Ovis aries: one gene and its partner. The protein of the gene in region 1 interacts with the protein of each later gene in a pairwise test. Links are inferred from orthologs where the notes say so. Each region holds a gene or a part of one and is shown in the gene's direction. Other genes may lie near its edges.

What was found.
Region 2: the proteins of PEX16 (region 1) and PEX3 interact in binary tests that used the Homo sapiens proteins (3 or more experiments, as listed by UniProt). The link is inferred for Ovis aries from reciprocal best matches to the Homo sapiens genes PEX16 and PEX3.

Annotation. Positions count from the first base shown.
Region 1 is NC_056068.1:74,867,191-74,879,503, reverse strand, and holds PEX16 (peroxisomal biogenesis factor 16), read left to right. Parts: upstream 1-4,355; 5' UTR 4,356-4,421; coding exon 4,422-4,533; intron 4,534-4,748; coding exon 4,749-4,784; intron 4,785-5,601; coding exon 5,602-5,678; intron 5,679-5,986; coding exon 5,987-6,120; intron 6,121-6,259; coding exon 6,260-6,360; intron 6,361-7,293; coding exon 7,294-7,374; intron 7,375-7,523; coding exon 7,524-7,652; intron 7,653-7,741; coding exon 7,742-7,814; intron 7,815-7,940; coding exon 7,941-8,060; intron 8,061-8,372; exon of another isoform or gene 8,373-8,582; intron 8,583-9,463; coding exon 9,464-9,528; intron 9,529-9,975; coding exon 9,976-10,034; 3' UTR 10,035-10,134; downstream 10,135-12,313. UniProt on the Homo sapiens protein: Required for peroxisome membrane biogenesis. May play a role in early stages of peroxisome assembly. Can recruit other peroxisomal proteins, such as PEX3 and PMP34, to de novo peroxisomes derived from the endoplasmic reticulum (ER).
Region 2 is NC_056061.1:68,108,900-68,120,556, forward strand, and holds part of PEX3 (peroxisomal biogenesis factor 3), read left to right. Parts: intron 1-935; coding exon 936-979; intron 980-2,368; coding exon 2,369-2,493; intron 2,494-2,761; coding exon 2,762-2,828; intron 2,829-2,938; coding exon 2,939-2,993; intron 2,994-3,541; coding exon 3,542-3,710; intron 3,711-5,256; coding exon 5,257-5,327; intron 5,328-7,308; coding exon 7,309-7,431; intron 7,432-9,262; coding exon 9,263-9,359; intron 9,360-11,657. UniProt on the Homo sapiens protein: Involved in peroxisome biosynthesis and integrity. Assembles membrane vesicles before the matrix proteins are translocated. As a docking factor for PEX19, is necessary for the import of peroxisomal membrane proteins in the peroxisomes.

The DNA of each region.
Region 1 (12,313 bases):
GCAGAGACTGCGGGGGAGTGGATAGGGTACCCTGTGAGGGCCTGATCGGGGAGTCTGTGCAGGGAGCTGGGTCTGCAGAATGTCGGTAGTCACTCACGGTACTGGCCCTACCCCTCACTATCATTCAGGGGGATATTGAGGTGCTGAGATCCTTGCTGGGCCTCCAAGAAGTTCTTCTGGGGTGTGGAGCGGGGAAAGGGAGGTAGGCATGGGCATGTGAAGGATGCTGGTCTTCTAGGCCAGAGGCCTCGTTTGACCTAGCTCTACCAGGACTTTTCTACGTGACCTTAGACCACCCAGGCCCCTTCTCTGGGCCTCGGTGTCCACCTCGGTATACCTGTTGGACTGGTCTAGCTGTCTTCCCCTGTGGTTCGGGCCAGAGTGAAGGAGACAGGATCAGGTCCAACTTGCCCAAAGGCCCTTCAAAGCCCAGCCCAGGTGACCAAATTCAGGCAGGGGCCCAGGAGGGCGGGGCTGCCCTGGGTGCCTTCTGTACACACGACCCTCTTTGTCTCTGGGACCTAATGAGGCACAAGATCTGGAGAGGAAATTCAGGCCCCTGTGCTGCTGCCAACCTGGCTGAGCTCCTGATCCCTTCCCTGGCCTGAGGGAGGGAAGAGAAACAGCCTCCAGCCCCAGTGTCCCTTACAGTCTGTCCAAGGGTGGGGGTGGCAGGCGCGATCCTCTGTCTCCCATGCCCCTCTCCCTCCCCAGAAGCACTGGAACCACCAGCCCTGGGAATGCCAAAGAAACCCTGCACAGCCCCCTTCCTCACTCTCTCACTCTGCCTTCCACACTTCCCCTTCCTCACTCTGCGTCTCTAGCCTCAGATACAGGGGTGAGAGTACTGCTGATGTGGTTTGGCAAACAAGTTCTTTAAGATGGCAGGGGATGTAGGAAGGAAGGAAGGAAGAGCCCCAGCCAAATGCCCTGAGCCCTAGTCTTAATCCCAGTTGCTAACTTGATTCATGACCAAGCGGCCTCAACAGTCACTGCTCTGGCTGAGCTGTGAGCAGAAGAAGAGAGGACCCTGTCACAGGAGACCCTCACTGTGGTCTCTTTGACCAGTGCCATGCTGTGTGACCTAAGACAAGTCCATTCTCCTCCTTGGGCCTCTTGTTCCCCATCTGTGAAATGGAATTCATACCAATCTGGCCAAGTTACTAGGAGGAGTTAAGTATGAGTGAGCCTGGCACCCAGGAAGTGGTGAAAAATAATGTAGATGATACCCATGGCCACCTCTCTGTTCCCCAGGAGGTTTGCCACTCTTGAGGCCCTGGACACATCTCCCTGAGTCTTCATTCCCTGGCAGGGGCAGAGCGGGAAGTTAGATCCCCCGTCTGAAAAAGAAGGAAACTAAGCTGGGGGGAGACTTAGGGAGGCAGCTCAAAGATGGGTTGTGGTTTCTTGGTGAGGTGTGTTACAATGCCTGATTCTGTGGTCAGACTAGACCAGGATTCCAATCTTGATGAGGCGTTCTTAAGCGGATCCTTTGCTCTTGTGGAGATAATATCTGGTGGAGAGGATTAAGTAAAATACTGTACTATTCTCAGTTCAGTTCAGTTCAGTCGCTCAGTCGTGTCTGACTCTTTGTGACCCCATGAATCGCAGCACGCCAGGCCTCCCTGTCCATCACCAACTCCCGGAGTTCACTTAGATTCACGTCCATCGAGTCAGTGATGCCATCCAGACATCTCATCCTCTGTCATCCCCTTCTCCTCCTGCCCCCAATCCCTCCCAGCATCACAGTCTTTTCAAATGAGTCAACTCTTCCCATGAGGTGGCCAAAGTACTGCAGTTTCAGCTTTAGCATCAGTCCTTCCAAAGAAATCCCAGGGCTGATCTCCTTCAGAATGGACTGGTTGGATCTCCTTGCAGTCCAAGGGACTCTCAAGAGTCTTCTCCAACACCACAGTTCAAAAGCATCAGTTCTTCAACGCTCAGCTTTCTTCACAGTCCAACTCTCACATCCATACACGACTACTGGAAAAACCATAGCCTTGACTAGATGGACCTTAGTTTGCAAAGTAATGTCTCTGCTTTTGAATATGCTATCTAGGTTGGTCATAACTTTTCTTCCAAGGAGTAAGCGTCTTTTAATTTCATGGCTGCAGTCACCATCTGCAGTGATTTTGGAGCCCCCCAAAATAAAATCTGACACTGTTTCCACTGTTTCCCCATCTATTTCCCATGAAGTGATGGGACCAGATGCCATGATCTTCGTTTTCTGAATGTTGAGCTTTAAGTCAACTTTTCACTCTCCTCTTTCACTTTCATCAAGAGGCTTTTTAGTTCCTCTTCACTCTCTGCCATAAGGGTGGTGTCATCTGCATATCTGAGGTGATTGATACTTCTCCCAGCAATCTTGATTCCAGCTTGTGTTTGTTCCAGTCCAGCGTTTCTCATGATGTACTCTGCATATAAGTCAAATAAGCACGTTGACAATATACAGCCTTGACATACTCCTTTTCCTATTTGGAACCAGTCTGTTGTTCCATGTCCAGTTCTGACTGTTGCTTCATACACATTTCTCAAGAGGCAGGTCAGGTGGTCTGGTATTCCCATCTCTGTCAGAATTTTCCACAGTTTATTGTGATCCACACAATCACAGGCTTTGGCATAGTCAATAAAGCAGAAAGAGATGTTTTTTTGGAATTCTCTTGCTTTTTCATAATCCACCAGATGCTGGCAATTTGATCTCTGGTTCCTCTGCCTTTTCTAAAACCAGCTTGAACATCAGGAAGTTCACAGTTCACGTATTGCTGAAGCCTGGCTTGGAGAATTTTGAGCATTACTTTACGAGCATGTGAGATGAGTGCAACTGTGCGGTAGTTGGAGCATTCTTTGGCATTGCCTTTTCTTTCTTGGAATGAAGACTGACCTTTTCCAGTCCTGTGGCCACTGCTGAGTTTTCCAAATTTGCTGGCATATTGAGTGTAGCACTTTCACAGCATCATCTTTCAGGATTTGAAAGAGCTCAACTGGAATTCCATCACCTCCACTAGCTTTGTTCGTAGTGATGCTTTCTAAGGCCCACTTGACTTTACATTCCAGGATGTCTGGCTCTAGGTGAGTGATCACACCATCGTGATTATCCGGGTCGTGAAGATCTTTTTTGTACAGTTCTGTGTATTCTTGCCACCTCTTCTTAATATCTTCTGCTTCTGTTAGCTCCATACGATTTCTGTCCTTTATTGAGCCCATCTTTGCATGAAATGTTCCCTTGGTATCTCTAATTTCCTTGAAGAGATCTCTAGTCTTTCCCATTCTGTACTATTCTCAGAGTACCATAAACCTGCTGCCCTGGTCCCCAACAGCGCAGCCCCGTGGGCCCCAGCCTTGCCCCGCCCCTTTGCCCACAGCCAATCGGCGGCCGCCTCTTCCGCGCATCCGTTCCCTCCACCTCTGGCCGCTCCTCTCCCGCCGCCACTTCCTTCCAGGGAGGCTACCCTGTTTGGGAAGAGATTCCCTGGAGAAGTTCTCATTTCTTGGGAAGCAGCTGAGAGCTGGAAGATGCACCGGAGGGCCAAAAAGCGCTGTGAAATTGATCCCGAGTTCAAAGAGCCCGTCTGCCCTCTAACCATTTTACAGATGGGGAAACCCGAGGCCCAGAGAAGGGAAAATCCTCGTTAAGGTCACCCCGAGCGGAGAGCAGAAGCCCAGGCCAGGCTTTTCTCCGTGAAGATGGGAGTTCAGGTGCGCGATTTGGCGGGAGGGCGGCGGGAGGGAGGACATGCTCCTTGTGGGAGCCGGGGCACTAACGATGCTGGCCAGGGGGATCTTGACTGCGTGGGAGGCTGGACTTCTCGCTGCCTCAGTTTCCCCAGCACTACCTCTGGGAGAAGTCAGGCGACGAGGCAAGGGGCCAAACGCGCGCCTGCACACAGTCCGATTGTCCTTAGGCTGTCCCCGCGCTCCCCACCCGCCCAAGTCTGATGGAGAAGGCTCCTCTGTGGGCGCTGCCTCCCAAGCCCTTTAAAAGCCAGTCCTCCCGTTCGAGCCTCTCGGCATTCTATTGGGAAGGCTCTTGATCCCTACTCCAGAATTAACTGCTCAGGCTGCCGCGGGAGCTTTTTCCCGGAGCTCTAACTGCGCAGGTGCAAGGCAGCAAACCCGGAAGGCGGAAGAGCCGGTGGGGCCGCCGGGGTCGGGGGCGGAGAGCGTGTGAACCAATGACCTGAAGGAGTTAGGAAGGGCGGGATTAGGCCCGCGGTTACTTAACGCTACCCTGGTGGGAGGTGATTTAAGAAATGGGGTGAAGGGTGCCTCAACTGCCCTTCGCGTCGCCGTCCTTCTGGCCCGCGGAAGTTAAGCAGCAGAGAGGCGGGCCCAGCGCCGGAAGCAGGAAGGAGGGCGCAGGAAGCAGGGCCCCGTAGCCAGTATCGCTGTCGGTCCGTGGGTCTGTCGGTCCCGAGGGCAGGATGGAGAAGCTGCGGCTGGTGGGCCTCCGCTACCAGGAGTACGTGACTCGTCACCCGGCCGCCACGGCCCAGCTGGAGACGGCAGTGCGCGGCCTCAGTTACCTGCTGGCAGGTGCCACCCTGACCTTTGACCCATCCCTTCGGATCTCTGACCTCTGACCCCACCTGCCTCCCCCTCCCTTCCCTGCGGAGCCTGGGTAGTGATCGCTGTGCTTGAGGAGTTCCTTCCAGGTTCCCGTTAGGGCATAGGGAGGGAATGTCCAGGGGCCCGAAGCAGCAGGGAGAGGCAGACTCTCACCGGCGCCTCCTTCTGTGCCTTCTCCCCAGGTCGTTTCGCCGATTCGCACGAGCTGTCAGAGCTGGGTGAGCCGGGCTCTGGGGTGGGTGGGGGGCGAGAGGGTGGGGGAGGGCTTCCTAGATTTCCCGTTAGATCATCCAGTTCTGTGATTGAATCAGACAGGGGTCCAGCGTCCACTGTCCTAGGCCGTCGCGTATGCCCCCTCCCCCGCCATAGTTGAGAGATATGTCTGGGGACCTTGACTGGTCAGGAGGCTGAGCCAAGCGTCCCTTCTGCCTTTGCTCCGTTAATCTTCCCTACAGTCATGTGAAGTGGGTACTGTTATTGTCCTCCTTGTCCAGTTAAGGGAACAGAAGTTTAAGTGAGGTTAAGGAACAGCCACCGAAGGCCTCAACCAGAATTCATGTCCCAATCTCCCAAATTCCAGAATGCCCAGGTTATAACTGCTTCAGTGGTGTTTACCCAGTCAGTACAGGAGAGACAGATCCTGAAAGGATGAGCTGGGTTCTAAAAGGTAGGGATGGAAGAGAATTTCAAGGACAGGCTGCAGAGAGAGCAAAGACCAGGAGGTGACTGCACCTCCCATGTCTCTTCGGAGCATGATGGGCGGTTCTGGGCTGCTGGATAACCAGTGCTATTCAGCAGGACAGTAGCTGGTATGTCATAGAGATCAAACCATCCTTTCTTGTTCTAGCTGCTCACACAAAGGTCGTTGAGGGGAGTGGAGAGCTCTGAGGAAGTGGGTGGCAGGACCTGTTGTTTCCACATATTGTGGGGATGGCTGAGCACAGCAGGGGATAGGTGATCCCTGCTGCTCTAGGGAGAGGGGGAGGGGGTGGAGGCTGCAGAGCCAGCCTCTCAAGGCCACTCTCTGCCCCTCAGTGTACTCTGCCTCTAACCTGCTTGTGCTGCTCAATGACGGAATCCTACGGAAGGAACTTCGGAAAAAATTACCCGTGGTAAGAATTGTGAAGCAGAGGGCTCAGGAACAAAATAGTAACCACCAGCCCGTGTTTGGGGCACGCATTATGGTCTCCTGGAGTACGAGACATGGCTGCATCCACCTGTGCCTGTAGCTGTTGGGCGACAAGTCCAGGCATCAGTGTCCCCTTATCAGGTGAAAAGACTGGGTTTCACAGGGTAGAGTCGCCTGTCCCAGCAGGAGATCTCAGGCTTAAGCACTTAATCTTGGGAAGGGGAGGTGTCCCCTGGGGGAGGAGCTGAAACCAGGGGGACCTCCTGACCTCTTGGCCTGGGGTTCTTGCAGTCCCTGTCCCAGCAGAAGCTGCTGACATGGCTGAGCGTGCTGGAGTGTGTGGAGGTGTTCATGGAGATGGGGGCCACCAAGGTGTGGGGTGAAGTAGGACGTTGGCTCGTCATCGCCCTCATCCAGCTGGCCAAGTATGTCGGGACTGTGGAGGGCCGGCCTGGGGTGGGGGTCACTGAGACCAGCTGTACCGATGGTGTTCAGTAGAGCAGCCTGGACCCCTGCCAGCTAGCCACCTCCCCCTTCCCCAGCCCTGCCGTACTCCCAACCCAGGGCTGTACTTCGGATGTTCCTGCTGATCTGGTTCAAGACTGGCCTCCAGACCTCACCCCCCATCGTTCCGCTGGACAGGGAGACCCAGGCACGGTCCCAGGGTAAGTGCCTACCCACTCTGGAGTGGAATGGGGCACGGGGCTGATTGGTAAATGAGAGCTGACCTACGTACTGTCACCGTGGAGCACACCTCTCCCCATCAACTCATTTTGTCCTCATCGTCTTATACTGGTATTTTACAGAAGAGAAAGAATGATGAAGTCAGAGGCCAGATCAGAGCTTAAACTCAGAGCTTCTGACGTTGGAGTCCTCAGTCTCCATTGTTATGGGCTGCGGGAAGAGGGGACAGAGCATCAGGAGGAAGCAGGGGTCTTGCCAGCCTTGTCTTTGGGCTGGCTCTGTATCAAGAGCACAGCCTCATGAGGCAGGGTACCCAGCAGATGCGCCCCTTCAGGGCTTTGGGCCCATCAGCTGCTGGCCTCTGGTCTTACCCCCTTGACTTTGAGTTGGGGGCAGGTCTTCACTTCTGTTTTCATGGTCATGTTGAAAGCAAAGCTCTCAGAAGATACACCCTTCCCCTCCTTCTTAAAATTTTTTGTTTATTGGCCACGCCACACGGCCTTTGGGATCTTAGTTCACTGACTGCGGGTGGAACCCTCGCCCCCTGCAGTGGAAGCATGGAGTCTTAACCGCTGGGCCACCAGGGAAGTCCAGATATAGCCCCTCTGGCTGTGGTTCCCATGGACCACCGGCCCCCCTGCCTTGTTCCAGTGCCTGGGAGGCCTTAGTTCTTGGCTGGTATATCTGCACAGGTGATACTGGCCTTTCCCCAGGTTGGGGAGGGCTGCAGAATGCTCCCTGCTATGGATAGGTCCCAGGCACAGCCTCTGCTGTGGTGTCTTTGACTCAGCTGCTGTCTTCGTACAGGTTTATCCATTCTCCCCATAGCCCATGAGCGTTCACTGCACCTGCATTCGCTTGTAGGCTCTGCACGTGTCCCTCTGACAGTATGACCTTTTATCTGTTGCTGCTAGATGGTGACCACAGCGCTGGTAGCCAGGAGCAGTCATATGTGGGGAAGCGGTCAAACCGGGTGGTGCGAACCCTCCAGAACAGTAAGTGTGGGAGGTTGCTGGATGAGACAGCTCGGTGCTTAGGTCAGCGTGGGCCTGAGGGCCTGGCTTTCGTCAGTGCCTGCCTGCCCCCGCCCCAGCCCTCGGGCCCAGCCTCTTACCTACCTCTTACCTCTTACCTTGTGTTCTAGCTCCGTCCCTGCACTCCAGGCACTGGGGGGCCCCGCAGCAGCAGGAGGAGCTGGGCGTCGCCCCCACCCCACTGGGGCTGCAGGAGACCATCGCCGAGTCCTTGCATATCGCCCGGCCTCTGCTGCACTGTATCCTTAGCCCAGGCCGGGGTTGCGATAGACGGGGGCAGGCAGGGCGGGCCGTGTGCCGGAGACATCCTTAACGCCGTGGCCGGCAGTGCTCAGCCTGGGCCTCTGGGGTCAGCGGTCGTGGACACCCTGGCTCCTGTCCGGTGTCGTGGATGTGACCAGGTGAGCTGGGCCTGCCTGGGGGCCCCATTCCCTCCGTCCGGCTTTGTGCTGCAGGCCTGGCCTCACGTGGGCAGGCAGGGTCCCTGCCTCTGCTGTCGCTGGCCTGAACCTTGTCCCCTCCCCCAGCCTGAGCCTCCTGAGCGACAGGAAGGGCCTGACCCGGCGGGAGCGGCTGGAGCTGCGGCGCCGGACCGTCCTGCTGCTCTACTACCTGCTGCGCTCCCCCTTCTACGACCGCTTCTCCGAGTAAGGACTGGCCTCTGGCTTGGCAGAGCACCCTCTCCGCGGGGCAGGGCAGGGGAAGTGGGCTGGCTCCCCAGGCTTGCTCACGCCTGCCTTCCCTCCCTCCTTCCCCGATCTGGGTTCACGGAACACGTGCCGTGTGCTACCCTGGGTGTGCTCACTCCTGATTTCTTGGGGCCATCTGCCCAGTGTGCTGCTTAAGCTGCTGTTGGCAGGCGGGGGCAAGGCCCCAGGGACCGTGGGCATGAACTTTCCCCATCCTAAGCTTGCTCGCCCACTTTCCTAAACAGTTGGGTTATTTCCCACTGCTCACAGGAGACACTGAAGTTCAAAGAGGTTGGGCAGCTGAAATGAAGCCACCCAGCCAGCCAGTTCCGACACCCATGCTCTCTCCTGGCCCGTTCCTGCCTCACCCAGCCCTTCCTCCATACCCTGAGAGGGTCCAGAGCTCCTAGCCACAGAGAGGCCTGCTGGGCGTGAGTCAGGGGTGACTCGGCGCCAAGTCTCCCAAAGAGGTCACCTGAGGTCAGACCGAGATTTGAGGAGGGGTCCCTATACTGTGACTGGGGCTGTGAGACAGGCTGGAGGCTCCCGGAACCCACTCTGTCCAGGTCGTAACAAGAACACTGCTTAAAGGCTGGAGTGATCGTTAAAGGCTGGAGTGATTGTTAAAGGCTGGAGTGATCGTTGGAATCGTACTTAACATTCTGTACATATTACTTCTGTTCATTTTCTGAGTTGGTAGAAAGTAAGCTTAGGTCAGATTTAATAACCACCTCATGAAAATAAGTTTCTATTTTCAGATCAGTTTGAAAGCTCACAAGGTTCTAAAGCCAAATCCTTTTCTACACTCCAGAGAAAATGCTCTGGAGACTTTGGTGGATCGTGACCTCTGCCCACAGATGGCTTGCACTCTACAGAGGAAGCATTGTAGCCCCAATATTGGTCTGAATTGAGGATTACCTAATTGCAAAGGTGGCTTCCCAGGCTACAGGCCTCCAGTCTGGCCTGTCTTCCTGCCAACCTGACCAGCCCAGCACCCTTAGAGCAGTGGCCCAGACTGAGGAGGGCCCAGAGCCTGTCCCCCAGAGGACAGGGGCAGGGTGCCGAGGACCTCTGGGATATAGTCTGGGGAGAGAGAAGTTTCCTTCCCCCTTCTTATTGTCAGACAATATAGTCTCTGGCTCTGGGCTGCCTCCCAGCTGTGGGCTGAGGTGTGACCCTCCCAGGTGTGTGGCTGGGGACGGCTGGACCAGAGCCTTCTGTCTCCTAGGATGTCCTTGATGCATGTGGTGACCTTCTGGCTTCTGGGATGCACTGCCTTTAGTCAGGTGGTTAGCAGAGGTTTTACACGCCTGGGTTTGCAGGAACCCAGGCCCCCTACTTAGGCTACTCCGTTGTTGCAGGGCCAAGATCCTCTTTCTACTCCAGCTCCTGGCAGACCACGTCCCAGGCATTGGTCTGATCACAAGTAAGCGTGGGGTGATAATTACCATCACGGAGCTTTTGTGTGGCCCGGCTCCCTGTACCTCCTTGTAATCTGACTCTTGGCACAGTTGGGAGAGGGAGCGCAGAGGTCAGGTTGGGAGGGTGACAGCTCCTTCAATGACATGAGACCAGCTTCACTGGCTGGGGACTGTACGGAGGAATGACACCTGCTGGCCATTTGGAGAGGCACCCTCAGCAGAGAGGCCCTGGGCCAGGGCTACCCACAGGGACAGCGGGACAGCTGTGTGATTTCTGTGAGCTTGAAACTCTTTGTCTGTAAACATAGCCAGAGATGGCTCTGATGCTCGCGGGGAAGGTGGGAGGGTGGGGGCTCTGACCAGGCGGACGGGGGCCTCAGGAGGGCCCTGGGTAGAGCTGGATTGGAGTCTGGCCCTCAGTCCTGAACTTGCTCCCCTCTCTGTCATTGCAGGGCCACTCATGGATTACTTGCCCAACTGGCAGAAAATTTATTTCTACAGTTGGGGCTGATGGACATTCCGCAAGTGGGGTGTGGGGAGAGGCAGGGGATGCCTCAGCTCTTCAAGTCCCTGGGCCCCTTTGCCCTAATAAAACTGACTCTGGCAGCGTCCACGCCTGTGACTGCTCCATGCCCCCGACCCGGGGCGCCCGGCTCCTGCACTCTGGCTGGGCTCCGCACACAGCCCTGGTCTCCACTAGAGCGCCCTTAATTCCCTCTCGACTCCGCATCCTGAGGGGAAGGAAGCACACGCCGCACCTCATCACTGGCCGGGGTGCCCTACTAGGACCGGGCCACGGGCTTCTGCAGCCTAGAAAGCTGGAACCCACCTCACGGGAAGCTGCGATAGCAGATGCTGCTTCTCTCTTGATCCCTGCTGACGGCCAGCCAGGCTGAACCCAGACTGGGTGACAGCTGCCCCTGTGTCTTCTGGCCCACGCCCTGCTGGGGCCTGATGCCTGGCAGCTGCTCCGTGGTGGAGCGTGGTGCTGGTGGGCCTGCCTCAGTGCAGAGGGGCACCTCAAGCCCTGACCCCTGCTCGAGAGCAGCAGGCCTTTGTCCTGTGGGAAGGGGACATCAGGCCCCAGCCAGCGCTGCGGCCGGCCCTGGGCAGCGGTAAGGTTGGCAGGGCTAGGAGCTGCCACGTGCGGGTTCACGGGGCATGAGCCGGCGTCTCCCCTGTGGTCTTCCTGGAGGCTCCATGCAGGGATTTGGGCATGGCGGCTGCTGTCTTTCTGCCTGCTCTCTCCCTTCCCTCAGTCTCTGCTGTCTTTGTGCTATGAGCAGACCGCGTGCTCCTGCTGGAGCTTCCAGCCGGTCAGGCAGCCGCTTGGGTTCTGAGAGGGCTCCATCTGCCTTGTGTCAGCTGTGCCTCCGCTGCCCCCAGACACCCTGGGACGGGCTGGCTGTCCCTGACTGCTTTCCCCAAGTGCCTCTGAGAAGCCCCGTCTGGGTCCCGGGCGGGGGGCGAAGGCACTGGGTGGTTACCACTTGAGACCCGCAGCCTTGGCTGGGCATGGTAGTGTGCTCTGGGGCTCGTGCTGTGCGTGGAAGCGAGGCAGGCCCAGCTCGCCGCCCTCACTCTCGACAGCGCGCGGGACAGGTGTGTGGATGCCTCCATGTGCCGAGTTGTTGCGGTTGGTGGAAGTATGCGCGGCCCATGGTCAGACTGCCTGCCCGCCCCAGCCGGAGGGCACCCTGGTCAGGGAGTCAAGCCGGCTTCTAAACTGCTGAGACTTCATCTGTTTTCAGCAGGCAGACGGGAGGTGGAGGCTGTGTGTGCAAAAACACAGCACAAGTAGTTGTTGCAGTGGCCTGACGGCCCTGCTGGGGTGGGAGGGCGCCCGAGCGGCGGGCAGGGCCGAATCCACCAGGCCATCGCGCCCCAGGCCAGCAATGTCGCGGAGGAGGTGGTGGGGAGGGGCCTGTTTGAAAGCGCATCTCAGGGGGCCTGTGGGCACGGGAGGGGGAAGGTGGAGGCCTGCAACCATGGGTGGGGCCAAGTTAAGACGGTGGCAGGAGGGGTGGGGGGCGACCCAGCCAGGCCTTGGGGACTGGTTGTGGATACAAAGGAAGAGGGTGGCGTCTAGTCTTGGAGGCAAGGAAATGAGGGGTTTGGAGTTAAGAGGAGCCAGAGTGTCTGAACTTGTGGTTCCTGGCGGAGGGCAGGGCGGGCAGAGGATGCTAAGGCGGGTTCGTGGGAGCCAGTTGTGTCCAGGGAGGGAGCCGGGTCCACACTGAGTTAGCACGGGGCCGGGCAGGAAGCAGAGGGCCGTATGGCCTTGCCACAGGCCTGTGAAGAGACTCAGTCTCTGGCCTCATCAAGGATTCACTGAGCACCCAGCAGGCATCCAGTACTGGACATCCGGTAGTCCCTGCCCTTGGGAAGCTTGCACTCGAGAGGCCCAGGTCCCAGGCTTTGCCACCTATGCTGAAGTCCGTGTCACCCTCGGAGGCGGGTTCCTGAAACCATGCTAAGCTGCGGGGGGGCAGCCTGGGGGGAGTGCCCTCAGCATGGGCTAGTCTGGTGGGGCCTGAGTGGGCCAGGGCCCAGGGACCTGCTCAGGGCTCTCCAGCTGCAGGACCTACCTGGGGCAATTCAGTGTGGGAGGGAGGGGGTGGGAGAGGGAGGCTGGGCGAGGAGCAGTGGAAATGCCGGGGCTCTGGGCGGTGGCTGTGACCTCTGCACAGGGCCTCCTGGGTGTCCGTCCCTGGGCAGGTGGTGTAGGTACCTTACCTCAGTGGTGAGGAAGCCCAGGCCCACAGAGGGAGGTAACGTTTCCGCCTGGCA
Region 2 (11,657 bases), on another chromosome or scaffold:
TACAGAATTGAAAAAAACAAAAACCTTAAACACTTTTCAGTACTGCTATTCTGAGACTGTTGTCCACAGAGTGAGGGATGCAGCAAGTTGTAATTATATTGGTTTCACTGATTTCTAGTGCAGGCAGAAAGAAATACGGGTATAAGATTAATGAGATTGTTAAAAAAAAAAAAAAGTGATCCTAATTTTGAATTAGAAGTATAAATATGAATTCATGATGTACTTTATCTCTTTAATATATATATAATAAATAAATAAATACACACATATAGTATACTAGCTGAGTCTTCTGAACCAGGACTCTCAGAGAAATGGATGATTTCAGGCTTGCAAAAATTGAACAAAATGAACCCAGACACCTTTTGTGTCCAAAAGCAAGGAAGCTGTCAAAGACTGAAGGGTTCATTTGAGAAGAACTTAGGAAGTAACGTGGATAGCCCCCTAATGGTCAAAGATGGGCAGTTTGAAAATCAATAAGGGTAACAACTACAGTGGATAGAAACACATCAAGTTAAATGCCTGTGTTTGTAATGATATTTAAAAGACAGTACTTGCCATTGAAGGATTATAGACCTACTTCATTATTTGTAAAATAGTAAATAAGGGAAAGATAAATATTATTCCTGCTTTTCCGGTATGATTTTATAGTACACATATCATATGCTCAGAAGGAAGAGAAAGACTGGAAGGACATACGCAGGTAATGGTGATGGTGGTCGTTTAGTCGCTAAGTCCTGTCTCTGACTCTTATGAAAATGGGTGTCATCATCAGTTACTGAAATTATAGTCATTTTTTAGTATAGCTTATGGGCTTTGTTTCTACAGTTATAGTTATCTTGTGATAAAATATAATTAAATATTGAACTGCAAAGTTCAAAGTTTTCTATTAAATTATCTAGATTATTATTTTTATATTTTCTGATATTTTTCTTTAGGCCTTCAAACAAGCTAGAAATATGGGAGGATCTGAAGATAATAAGTAAGCCTACATATTTCAAGGCATAGCCTTAAAATATTTTTAATGGGAAATTGTTGTATTCTATTATGTGGGTGGCTCTTCTTTACCTACCACATGGAGTTGTCGTCAGGATTAAATAATTCTCGTGAAGCAAGTAGATTGATGTCTACTGGTCATAGAAACTGCTTAGTAATGTTCGTGGTGGTGGTGGTATTATTGTTATAATAATACATAAACTTATCCTAGACTACATATGTGTATATTAGGTTCTGATACAATAGACGAAGTTTTTACTCCAACCTAAATAGTAATTTTACTTTGATATTGTATGCAAACTTTGATTAGTGATAAAAATTTCAAACAAAAAGCTTCCCTAGGACAGATAGATACATATATCTCCATGTCTCAGAACTTCATCCTCTGTCATTCTTGTGTTTTCCTAACTGAATCATGCTTGTTGTTTAGTCACTAAGTCATGTCTGACTCTTCGCAGCCCATGGACTATACCTTCCCAGGCTCCTCTGTCCATGGAATTTCCCAAGCAAAAATGCTGGAGTGGGTTGCCATTTCCTTCTCCAGGGGATCTTCCCAGCTGAGGGACTGAACCCGTGTCTGCTTCTTAGCAGGTGGATTCTTTACCACTGAACCACCAGGGAAACACAAATCATGCTTAAGCTTTGCCTGTTTGAAAATGAAATAAACCTGTGTAGTACCCTATATTTCCTTTCAGCTATTGTACTTTTTTTAATCTCCCTTGTGTAATACTAAAGCTTTCTACATTCTGTTTCTTTTCTTCTGCACTCCCTCTCATTCTGTGACACACTTGGAGCCTGGTTTCCACTCCTGTATCTCCATCCAAGCAGATATCACAGATCAGTAGTGTTGCTAAATCCACTGGACATTTTCCTCGTCTCAGCAAGAGTCAGCACCTTTCTCTTACCTCTGTTTTGAACAGTCGGTCCTAAACACCTGTGAAGACTGGTCTCTGTCTCTCTGTACCTTCCTCCATCCCTGTATGAGCTTATCCTTTGTGCTCTTTTACCTGCCAGTGACAGCTGGAGCTCTTCATGCTCAGCGCTCTTCCCTGATTCTGAACAAGCTCCTTGGACAGCTCAGAGCTCTGAGGCTACAACTGAGTGCTTCCCAGTCCTTTAACCCTTCACTGAATATATTGGTTATTATCTTTATTGGTTATTGTTTCAATTAAGAGATCATTCCTAATTGACAATAAATATTTTGTAATCAGATAAACTGAAATATTTTGAATTGATACATTTTTGTACTTGAAGTAATTATAAACGTATATTTTAAGTTGTCTTATGAAAAAATAACATAGGGATGGTTTGCGATTTTACACATTTGTTTGTGTTTTAACAATTAGTACCAAGAGGTTTTCTTTTCTCTGCAAAGGTTTCACAAGAAGCATCGTAGCTGTGTACAGTACTTGCATGCTGGTGGTTCTTTTGCGAGTCCAGTTAAACATAATCGGTGGATATATTTATTTGGATAATGCAGCAGTTGGCAAAAATGGCACCGTAAGTTTAATAGACTTAAACTGATACTGCCTTATCTTTCAAGAGATTCAAAATTTAACCAAATATTATCATGATAATTTATATAGAATAATTATATTTCATGTGATTATAAACTTTAACCATTATTTTTCTTCATATGTTGAAACTAGACTTGGTTATGTTAGAGAGTAGTGTTTCCTATTGTTCTAGGTCCTAGAATCTCAGCTTCAGTTATAATGAAAACATTATTTATTAATAATATTGAGCACCTTATGTCTATTTCGTACAGACAGTTCTTGCTCCCCCAGATGTCCAACAGCAATATTTATCAAGTATTCAGCACCTCCTTGGAGATGGTGAGATTCTTATTTATGACCTGTAAACTAATTCTAATTCATTCATTTGTATTATTGAGGAATTGAAAATGTAAACAAGGCTTTTTTTACATTTATTTTTCTTTTTATAGGCCTGACAGAATTGATCACTGTCATTAAACAAGCTGTGCAGAAGATTTTAGGAAGGTGAGGCATTTTGCATTGGCTTTTCCTAACTTCCTGAGTCTGATGAATAAAAGAAAAATTAACATAGTTCTAGTGAAGCTGGTGACTTGACAAACGGTGGTCTGCAAAACTCTTTTAACCTAATTCAGACACAGCCCTGGGTATTACATTGTGGAATCCGTTTTCTTCATCGGTATCAACGTTTTGATACTAAGGGGAAAGCTTTAATATTTCATTGTGTATTGATTGATTTCAAAACAAACCAAAAATATTTGGGTCATGAGACAAAAGACCTGCTTTTAAAAATCTGCCTCTGAGGCTTTTAACTCCTGTTCATATGGCAGTGTCTTTAATCACAGTGGGAATTTTCTTGTGAAATCTGCAACGAGATTTTTCTTGGCCCCAAACCAATGGCCGATTTCTTAATCTACTCTGATGATTTCATAGTCAGTAGTTTCAGGTGTGACGGGATGAAACAGGATCTCGGGTAGTAACCTGTTAGGAAAGGAGTATTCGTAGGACGTGTGGTATAGTTTCACTTATCCCAGTTTCCTTTTCTCTGTTTCTAGTGTTTCTCTTAAACATTCTTTGTCCCTTTTGGACTTGGAGCAAAAACTAAAAGAAATCAGAGATCTCGTTGAGCAGCATAAATCATCTTCTTGGATTAATAATGATGGATCCAAATCTTTATTATGCCATTACATGATGCCAGATGAAGAAACTCCATTAGCAGTTCAGGTGCTTAATTCAAAACTATTTAAGCAAAACCAGTTACTCTTTGCTGTTAATGTTTTTTTCATTATGTCTTAAAATTTAGATTTCTGAGTCTCTTGAAAGGTAAGTGATTGAAAGATACATTTCAATAATTTAAATAAAACCTCACTAATTTAGAAAACAAACTATAAATGTGATTGATTTCTAGTTTGAAAGCATTTTAGATATTCAGCAAGATTTTATTGAATATTAGTTATGTGACAGACACTATGATGTATGATTGAGATACAAAATGAATAAGCATGTTCAGTAAACCTGGAGAATTCAGAAGACAAATTCAGTTCCAGTGGCTAAAGCATATTTCTTTGAGATCAAGTAACAGAAGATAAAGCTGGTGGCTGGGGACAGTATCATAAAGAGCTTTGTATGCCAAGATAAAGGGTCTAAACTTCCAGTTCTAGACAAAGGTGAATTTTGATCAGGTCAGTACCACAATCATGTTTACTTTTTAAGATAAATCAGTGATAACAGTATCAGAGTGCACTGAAGGAGGTTGTAGTCATCCAGTTGAGAAACAGAGAAGGCCAGTTCCAACAGTTATCAGCCATGGTGTTGCTATACCCTGGTGTGTCCCGGACAGTTGTGATCTAAATTACTCATTGATTAAGAATAATAAAAATACAAGGATTACAGGTTATAGGCCTCTTTTAAAGTAATTGCTGCTTATTAACATGTAAGCAGATTGCATCCATTCTTTGCAGTTGAGAGAAGGATCTTCCTCACTTAACGACTGGAGAAGTCTTAGACTAAAGAGGCCCTTGTGCCATACCTCAGCCTAAAGGCCCTGTTGGAACAAAGATTGCCATGTTTTTCATTGCCTGCTTCCCGCTCCCCTGGAGGCTCCAGAGATAGGTTGTAAGCCATTTAAGAGAACCTCATGAACCCCTGCAGAATGGAAGCTAAACTGAATGAACAGAACAGACCTGTCAGAATTAACAAGAGAAGCAAGAGAAAACTCACTTAAAAATTAGAATCTTGAGGAGATGCAATAATAGTATTCTTAAAGATTTCTGGAATGATAAAGCAATTTCCACATTTTAAAATTCAACAGTGGACTTAAAAAAGAAAATAATTCAAAAGAACAGGTAATGAGAGGGACGATGGAGCACATCTTATCTGAATTGAATTTAAACCTACAACTTAGATTGGAAGAACACATGGAGCCTTAGATTAAACTAGATTGATGAGAAAAGACACATGCATATCCTAATAAAATCCCTTAACAATAATAGAAAAAAATATCTCTGGCCTCTGCAACCTGGAAGACTAATTTTTCTTTGTTAATATGTCCTTCAGATAAATAAAGATCTTATAAAGACCCTATTGTGACTCAGTGTTTTAAATGCTACTCATCTGTGCACATCAACCTGTATAGTTTCTTTGAGTTGAACATGTTTTTTTAATTGTTGATAGGACATAGACTTTTCAGATTTCCTGAACTCTTGAGTTTGTTTCACATTAACCCTGTGCTATATTTGAAACCCTGAAGTGTGGCCTTTTAATTTCACAGGCCTGCGGACTTTCTCCTAGAGATGTTACCACTATTAAACTACTCAATGAAACTAGAGACATGTTGGAAAGGTATGTACACTGCATGTCACAGGAACATGTGCTTCTATTTTAAATGTATTCATGACCATCTTATAGTTTTTCTTGGACAAATATTCAACATAATATTTTGTTAAAATTAAATTTTAAATATATTCCCCTGCTTTTAGTAGGATTTCCTACCTACACTCGTGCTTGTCTTGTTAGGGTAGGGAGGTAAGCAGAGATTTTTTTTCCAAGACACCCAGGATTGCCCCTACCTGTTTTCCTAGCCTAGAGATTCTGATATACTAGTTAAGGGACCGGAAGATAGTTAGCATTTATATTTTGAGGAAAGCTTTAAATGGTGATTCTTATATGCCCAGTGTATTCTGGTATATGTTTAACAACTAGCCCTATAAAGAAAACAAAAACGAAAACTAAAATTGTAGCCACAGCAGTGCTGACTCTGCTGACTCCTAATCTGATGCCACTCAGTGCTGACTTGGGAAGAGGTGCTCTTGCCAGCCAGAGCTAGCCAGCTCTAGCTAATCCTCAGGTATACACACGTGCACACGTGCTGTGTGTGCACACACATACGCAGTTATGAGAACTACTTCCCCTGACCCTTTCAGGTTCGACTCTCATATTACTAAATCTTTGAGTGATAAAAATTCACATCCGCCTTCAATAGAGTATTAACTTTTTTAAGTTACCCAGAAGAGAGCCAGAATGTTACAAATGGGAAAAGCCCCAGATTGTGTATTAGAAGATGAGAGGACCTAGATTCAAGGTTGGCTCTGCTGTTTATCAGCTGGTCAACCTTGGTTGAGTCACTTACACTCTTTGAGGTAGTTTTATCATTGTGAAATCTTAGTGGTAATATCAGTTCATCTGCTTTATCTTAAGTGATTAAAGTATCAGTGTTTTTTAAATTAAAGATAATTTAAGATCATTTTCTCTTGTTTTCTGGGCAGATTATATCCTTTGTTTTTAATATTTTTTCATGATCTTGAAGAAAATCAGCAAATTTTCTAGGTTAATTCAGCTATTATATGAATTCATCAAGTTCTAGTCCTTGACTTTCTACAATATCAATCTCTACTTCTTTTCTTATTCAAGTCACTTCATGAAACTCTGGAAGGTCATCAGTGTTCTTTTGTCAAATCCAGTCGACCTGTAGTGTTCATCTTTCTTGACCTTCCTCTGATAATTAACGCTGTTGATCAAGGTTTTCTTGAAATTCTTTCTCTCATGGTTGCCTTGACAGTCTCCCAGTTTTTCCCCAGTTCTCAGATCATTTCTTCTTAGGTTCCTTTATGCCTGTCTTTCCTTTAAATACTAATGTTTCCCAGGTATTTGTTCTTTTTTCATCCTCAACTGCCCCAGGCAATTTTATTTACTCCCATTACTTTACTGTTTATATGTTAATAATTACCAAATTTATTGCCATGTGATGAATTGTGATTTCTACACGTCAGAGACAGAACTAATCTGTTCAACTGGGCAGTTCCTAACCCTGATAGCATATATATTACTCTTCATATCAAAGAGTTTCTGTGAGGTAATAACATGATATAACAAAAAGAGCTTGAACTTTAAGATCAGAAAGGCCTGGGTTCAAATTCTGCCTCCTATATTTACTAGTAACATACCTTAGGATAAATTTCTTCATGCATCAAGTGTCCAGTTCCTCATCTGAACACATAAACAAAATATTAATAGAGTTTCCTCATAAGAGTTTCCTCAAGAGAAGTAATGATTACTGATATTTATAAAAGTACATTTATGAAGTGCCGCATAATGTAAGAAAATCTAGCGAAATGAGCAAATATCCTCACTGCATTACGTTATACAATTAGCCCTCTTTTTATGCTTAATTTTTAATATTGACTCCTTGATACATTTTTATAGTGTTTTAGTTTATAAAATTGTGACTAGAAATGGTGGTGGCTGTCAAAGGTAGCCACATAGTTACTAAATTTTTGCCCTTTTCCATTGAAAATCTAAAAAGTAATTTATCTTCTTTATGTAGTCCAGATTTTAGTACAGTTTTGAATACCTGTCTCAACCGAGGATTCAGTAGACTACTAGACAACATGGCTGAGTTCTTTCGACCTACTGAACAAGACCTGCAACATGGTAACTCCATGAATAGGTAAGAAGACATATAAGAATGTTACCAGTCTTATGACTATTCTGATAAAACAGTGCTTTTTGATATGTTAATTTTTTGTTCCAGGTAACAAAAAAAGAAAATCTCAGATGACAAATGTGAATGTTTATTTTTTCAACAAATTAAACTCTGTTAAGCCAATGACTCCTTCATTAGGAGGAGCTCTTTCAGTATTCAGTGTTTAAATGTTTATTTCTTCTAAAATTTTGCCACTATACAGAAGTACTTAACTTGTGAAACTACTTTTCCATAGGCCAGTTTCAATTATTGAGGCTTTTTTAATTTAATGCTTTAGAATACAAAACTATGAAAATGTTATTTAAGTTCTAACATTTTCTCTTACATTATTCCAGCACTATAAGATATAATTGGCCTTCATAATTCAACCAGGCATTCTTGTTCTATATTCCCATTTGATGAATTATCTCCTAGTTCTGTAGCCCTTTTTGTTTAGATAGTACAGATGATAATGATTTAAATCATAATTACTAAGTCATGGATTCACTCTGCCAAAAGATAGCTTATGGTTTTATTATAATCTCAGCATGAGCACCTTAAATCTATTAGGATTTACACTGTTTTGCAGTTTTTTTGTATTAAATTCAGAAAATAATAGGTACTAAATCCATGTTAACTGACTGTAGACTCATCTGTTAAAATTAGGGATAACAGTAACTGATACGCAGTATGTATGTGCAATGCCTGTTTTAATTCTCAAATACATAGAGCAACAGTTTATTTGCCCAGTTCTCTGGGACCACTCTTTATTATACAAAAAGGATTAATTGGCAGTTAACATTGAGGATTTGGAATGCTTAGGGTCATACAGTTTATTTTCTGAAGCAATTTAAATGTCATCCTAAAATCTTTTATAGCAATTCTTTAAATTCTCAGAAAAAATTCAGCCTCAGTAAGTTCTCTAAATTAAGGTGCTCCAGTCAACAAAATTTCACTACAGTGTCTATCTAGCAAAAGTATTAGTTATTTACTGAATAGTGATAAGAATTTTTATATAAAACAAATACTTGATCTTGTACACTAGAGAATTATAAAAATTATGTTGCAGTTGTATCAGCCATTTCAATCTTTTCTTAACTCCTGTAGTACTCATGATCACTCATGTAGGACTCAAGTGTTTATTATACTTAACTATTTGACATTGCTAGTAATTAAGGGAAATACAGACCAAAACTGTGAGATAATGATTTTTAGCTATCAGATATATGAAGAGTAAAGAAATGCTTGATGTAGAAAGGAGTCATGATGGAGCAGGTATCCTCTCAGACTGTTAGAGAAGCAGAGGGAATTTGGTAATACACATTTTAAAGCTTAAAAGCATTCATATCCTTCAACTCAGTAATTTACTGTAAATACAAAGAGTTATTTATATTAAAGAAAATTAGGCAAAAACTCAATGCCCAACCATAGGGAGCTGATGATATAAGTTGTCACAGCTAGAGGATGGATTACTATATAGTAATTTAAAAACAAATACTTTGGAAGAACTTTTAATGAGATGGAATGAGTGATTATAGCATGAGAATAAAAATGCAAAACAGTGTTGCTTGGGAGGTTATAGCTGGGTGATAAAAACACCCAAAAAGTATAGATATGTATAAAAAAATTACTGGAAGAAATTAACTATGATGTCAGTTATAATTGTTATTTCTAGATGGTAAAATTATGTTTGGTCTTTATTTTCTTACTAAAACATTTCTGTAAGTACTTTTCAATGGCTATTTCTTTTATAATTAAATGTTAAATTCCTATAAAATAATTTCAGAAAATAATTATTACTGTGATGATTTTTCAGTCTTTCCAGTGTCAGCCTGCCTTTAGCTAAGATAATTCCCATAATAAATGGACAGATCCATTCAGTTTGCAGTGAAACACCTAGTCATTTTGTTCAGGTAAGAGGAGAGCTTGGGTTATTATTCAAAACAGACTGTACTTTTGGTTGTGGTCCTATTTGTCTAACATAAAATTACATTTCTCTTCTATGATATTTGTTCAAAGAAACCAAAAACTTGAAGCCACATGTAGAGTACAATAGAGTGCCCCATGAGAGTATAATATCATGGCACTTTTATGAGGTTGGGAATACCTTTCTCCATGTTATAGTACAGCACATGTTAGACACACTGCATTTTAGTCCAGATATATTCTAGCGGTCAGTTGAATTTAGTGTTAATGTTTTGTATTAAGCTGTGCCTTGAGGCAAATCAGTGAACCAGTCCCTCAGATTTTGAGGAAAAATGAAACATTTTTGTAGGAAAGTAAAGCATTTAAATAGTTAATAAGTATAACTGTTAATAGTGCACCAATAATCTGTTCATTAAAAGCTGCATCCTCAGTAGGTTATTTAAATTTTTCATTCATCTCCCTATAACTCTATCTCCTTTCTTAGGAAAGCATTTTATAATAGAATACACTGAATAAGACTGATTTTACTAAAAGAACAGCTTTGAATCCAAACTTTTCTTCCAAGTTATTTGCAAACTTGGAAACTGTATAACCAGCAATAAATTACTCATAATACACCTCAATTCCAAACTACTGCCATAATGTGCAGTGAGAAGAGAGAGACTCTAGGCCTAAGTGTAAAGATAGTATCTTCTCAGTAATATTTATCTCAAATTAGAGTATCTCTGGTTTTCTACTTGAGAACGTGAAGAGCCGTGAGGCTATGGGTTGTAATTCTTCCTTTCTCTTATATAGAGTCATTGGCTTGTCCTTCACATGTGGCTTAATTTAAAGTTTAATTTTAGCTGAAAATTTTTTGAACTCTTATGTTTTAAATTTTTTTCTTTTAATTTTTATGTGCATATTAGTGTAAGAAAAAAAATAGTTGTAACTTCTGGCATTTAAACCTTAACTTTACCTTTCTCCATTTTCATAAAAATCTCTGGCTTCATCAGTAAGCTGTTCATCTTGATGAGCAGCATAATATATACACTGGGGCTTCCCTGGTGGCTCAGATGGTAAAGAATCTGCCTGCAGTGCAAGAGACCCAAGTTCAATCCCTGGGTCAGGAATATCCCCTGGAGAAGGGAATGGCTACCCACTCCAGTATTCTTGCCTGGAGAATTCCACAGACAGAGAAGCCCCGCGGGCCATAGTCCTTTGGATCGAAAAGAGTCGGACGTGACTGAGTGACTAACACAGACTTAATGTAACATCAGCTTTGGTGCTTAAATAATTTACATACTATATTACAGTCTATAACTGAGAATGAAAATAAAAGGTACAAACATCATTGATACTAATGCTTAGTATTAATAAATTTTCTTAGTATCATTGGATGTAGATTGTTTATATACTAGACCATTAATTGACAAGACTTCCACCAGTTTTTTAAATTACGATTTCTGTGAGTTAAAGTACCATGTGGTATTCAGAGAATTTAACTATGAATTTGTGAGATGAAGACTTGCTAAGCTTACTTGGGTTTTCTGATGCTTAAGAGAGAGCATCAAGGATAGGTTCACTTCCTGTTTCTCTGCTGCTCACTGGGCAGCATAGACCACATAATGGTTTCTGTTGCCATGGGTCCTTTCACTCTCTGGGGAAGCCTATGGACACCTCAGAATGATGCCTATAAGTGTATATTGTAAAATAGGTAGGTTTTAACGAAAACCAACTGTATACAGTTTCAAAATATTTTTTAAAATGACAGTTCATGTAACTTCTGCAACTTACCTAGCATATGATATAAAAATGTCTGAATTCTGCTAAAGACCAACTCACAGGTTCTACTGTCAGTTTGTTGCTTACATACACAGGTGAAAGAAATGCTAGATTTCAGTTAAAGGTTCATGAAAAAAAGATGTAATTTTTTATTTACATTGGAAGTGAAAGTGAAGGTGCTCAGTCGTGTCTGACTCTTTGTGACACCGTGGACTGTAGCCCACCAGGCTCCTCCGTCCATGGGATTCTCCAGGCAAGAAGACTGGAGTGGGTTGCCATTTCCTCCTCCAGGGGATCTTCCCGACCCAGGGATCGACCCAGGTCTCCTGCATTGCAGGCAGACACTTTAACCTCTGAGCCACTAGGGAAGTCAACATTAACAAATCCCATAAGAACCCCTGTTCTCAGGTATATATGTGTGGTTGGTTATGTATGTGTGGATATATTATTGTGGAGAAAGCAATGGCACCCCACTCCAGTACTCTTGCCTGGAAAATCCCATGGACAGAGGAGCCAGGTGG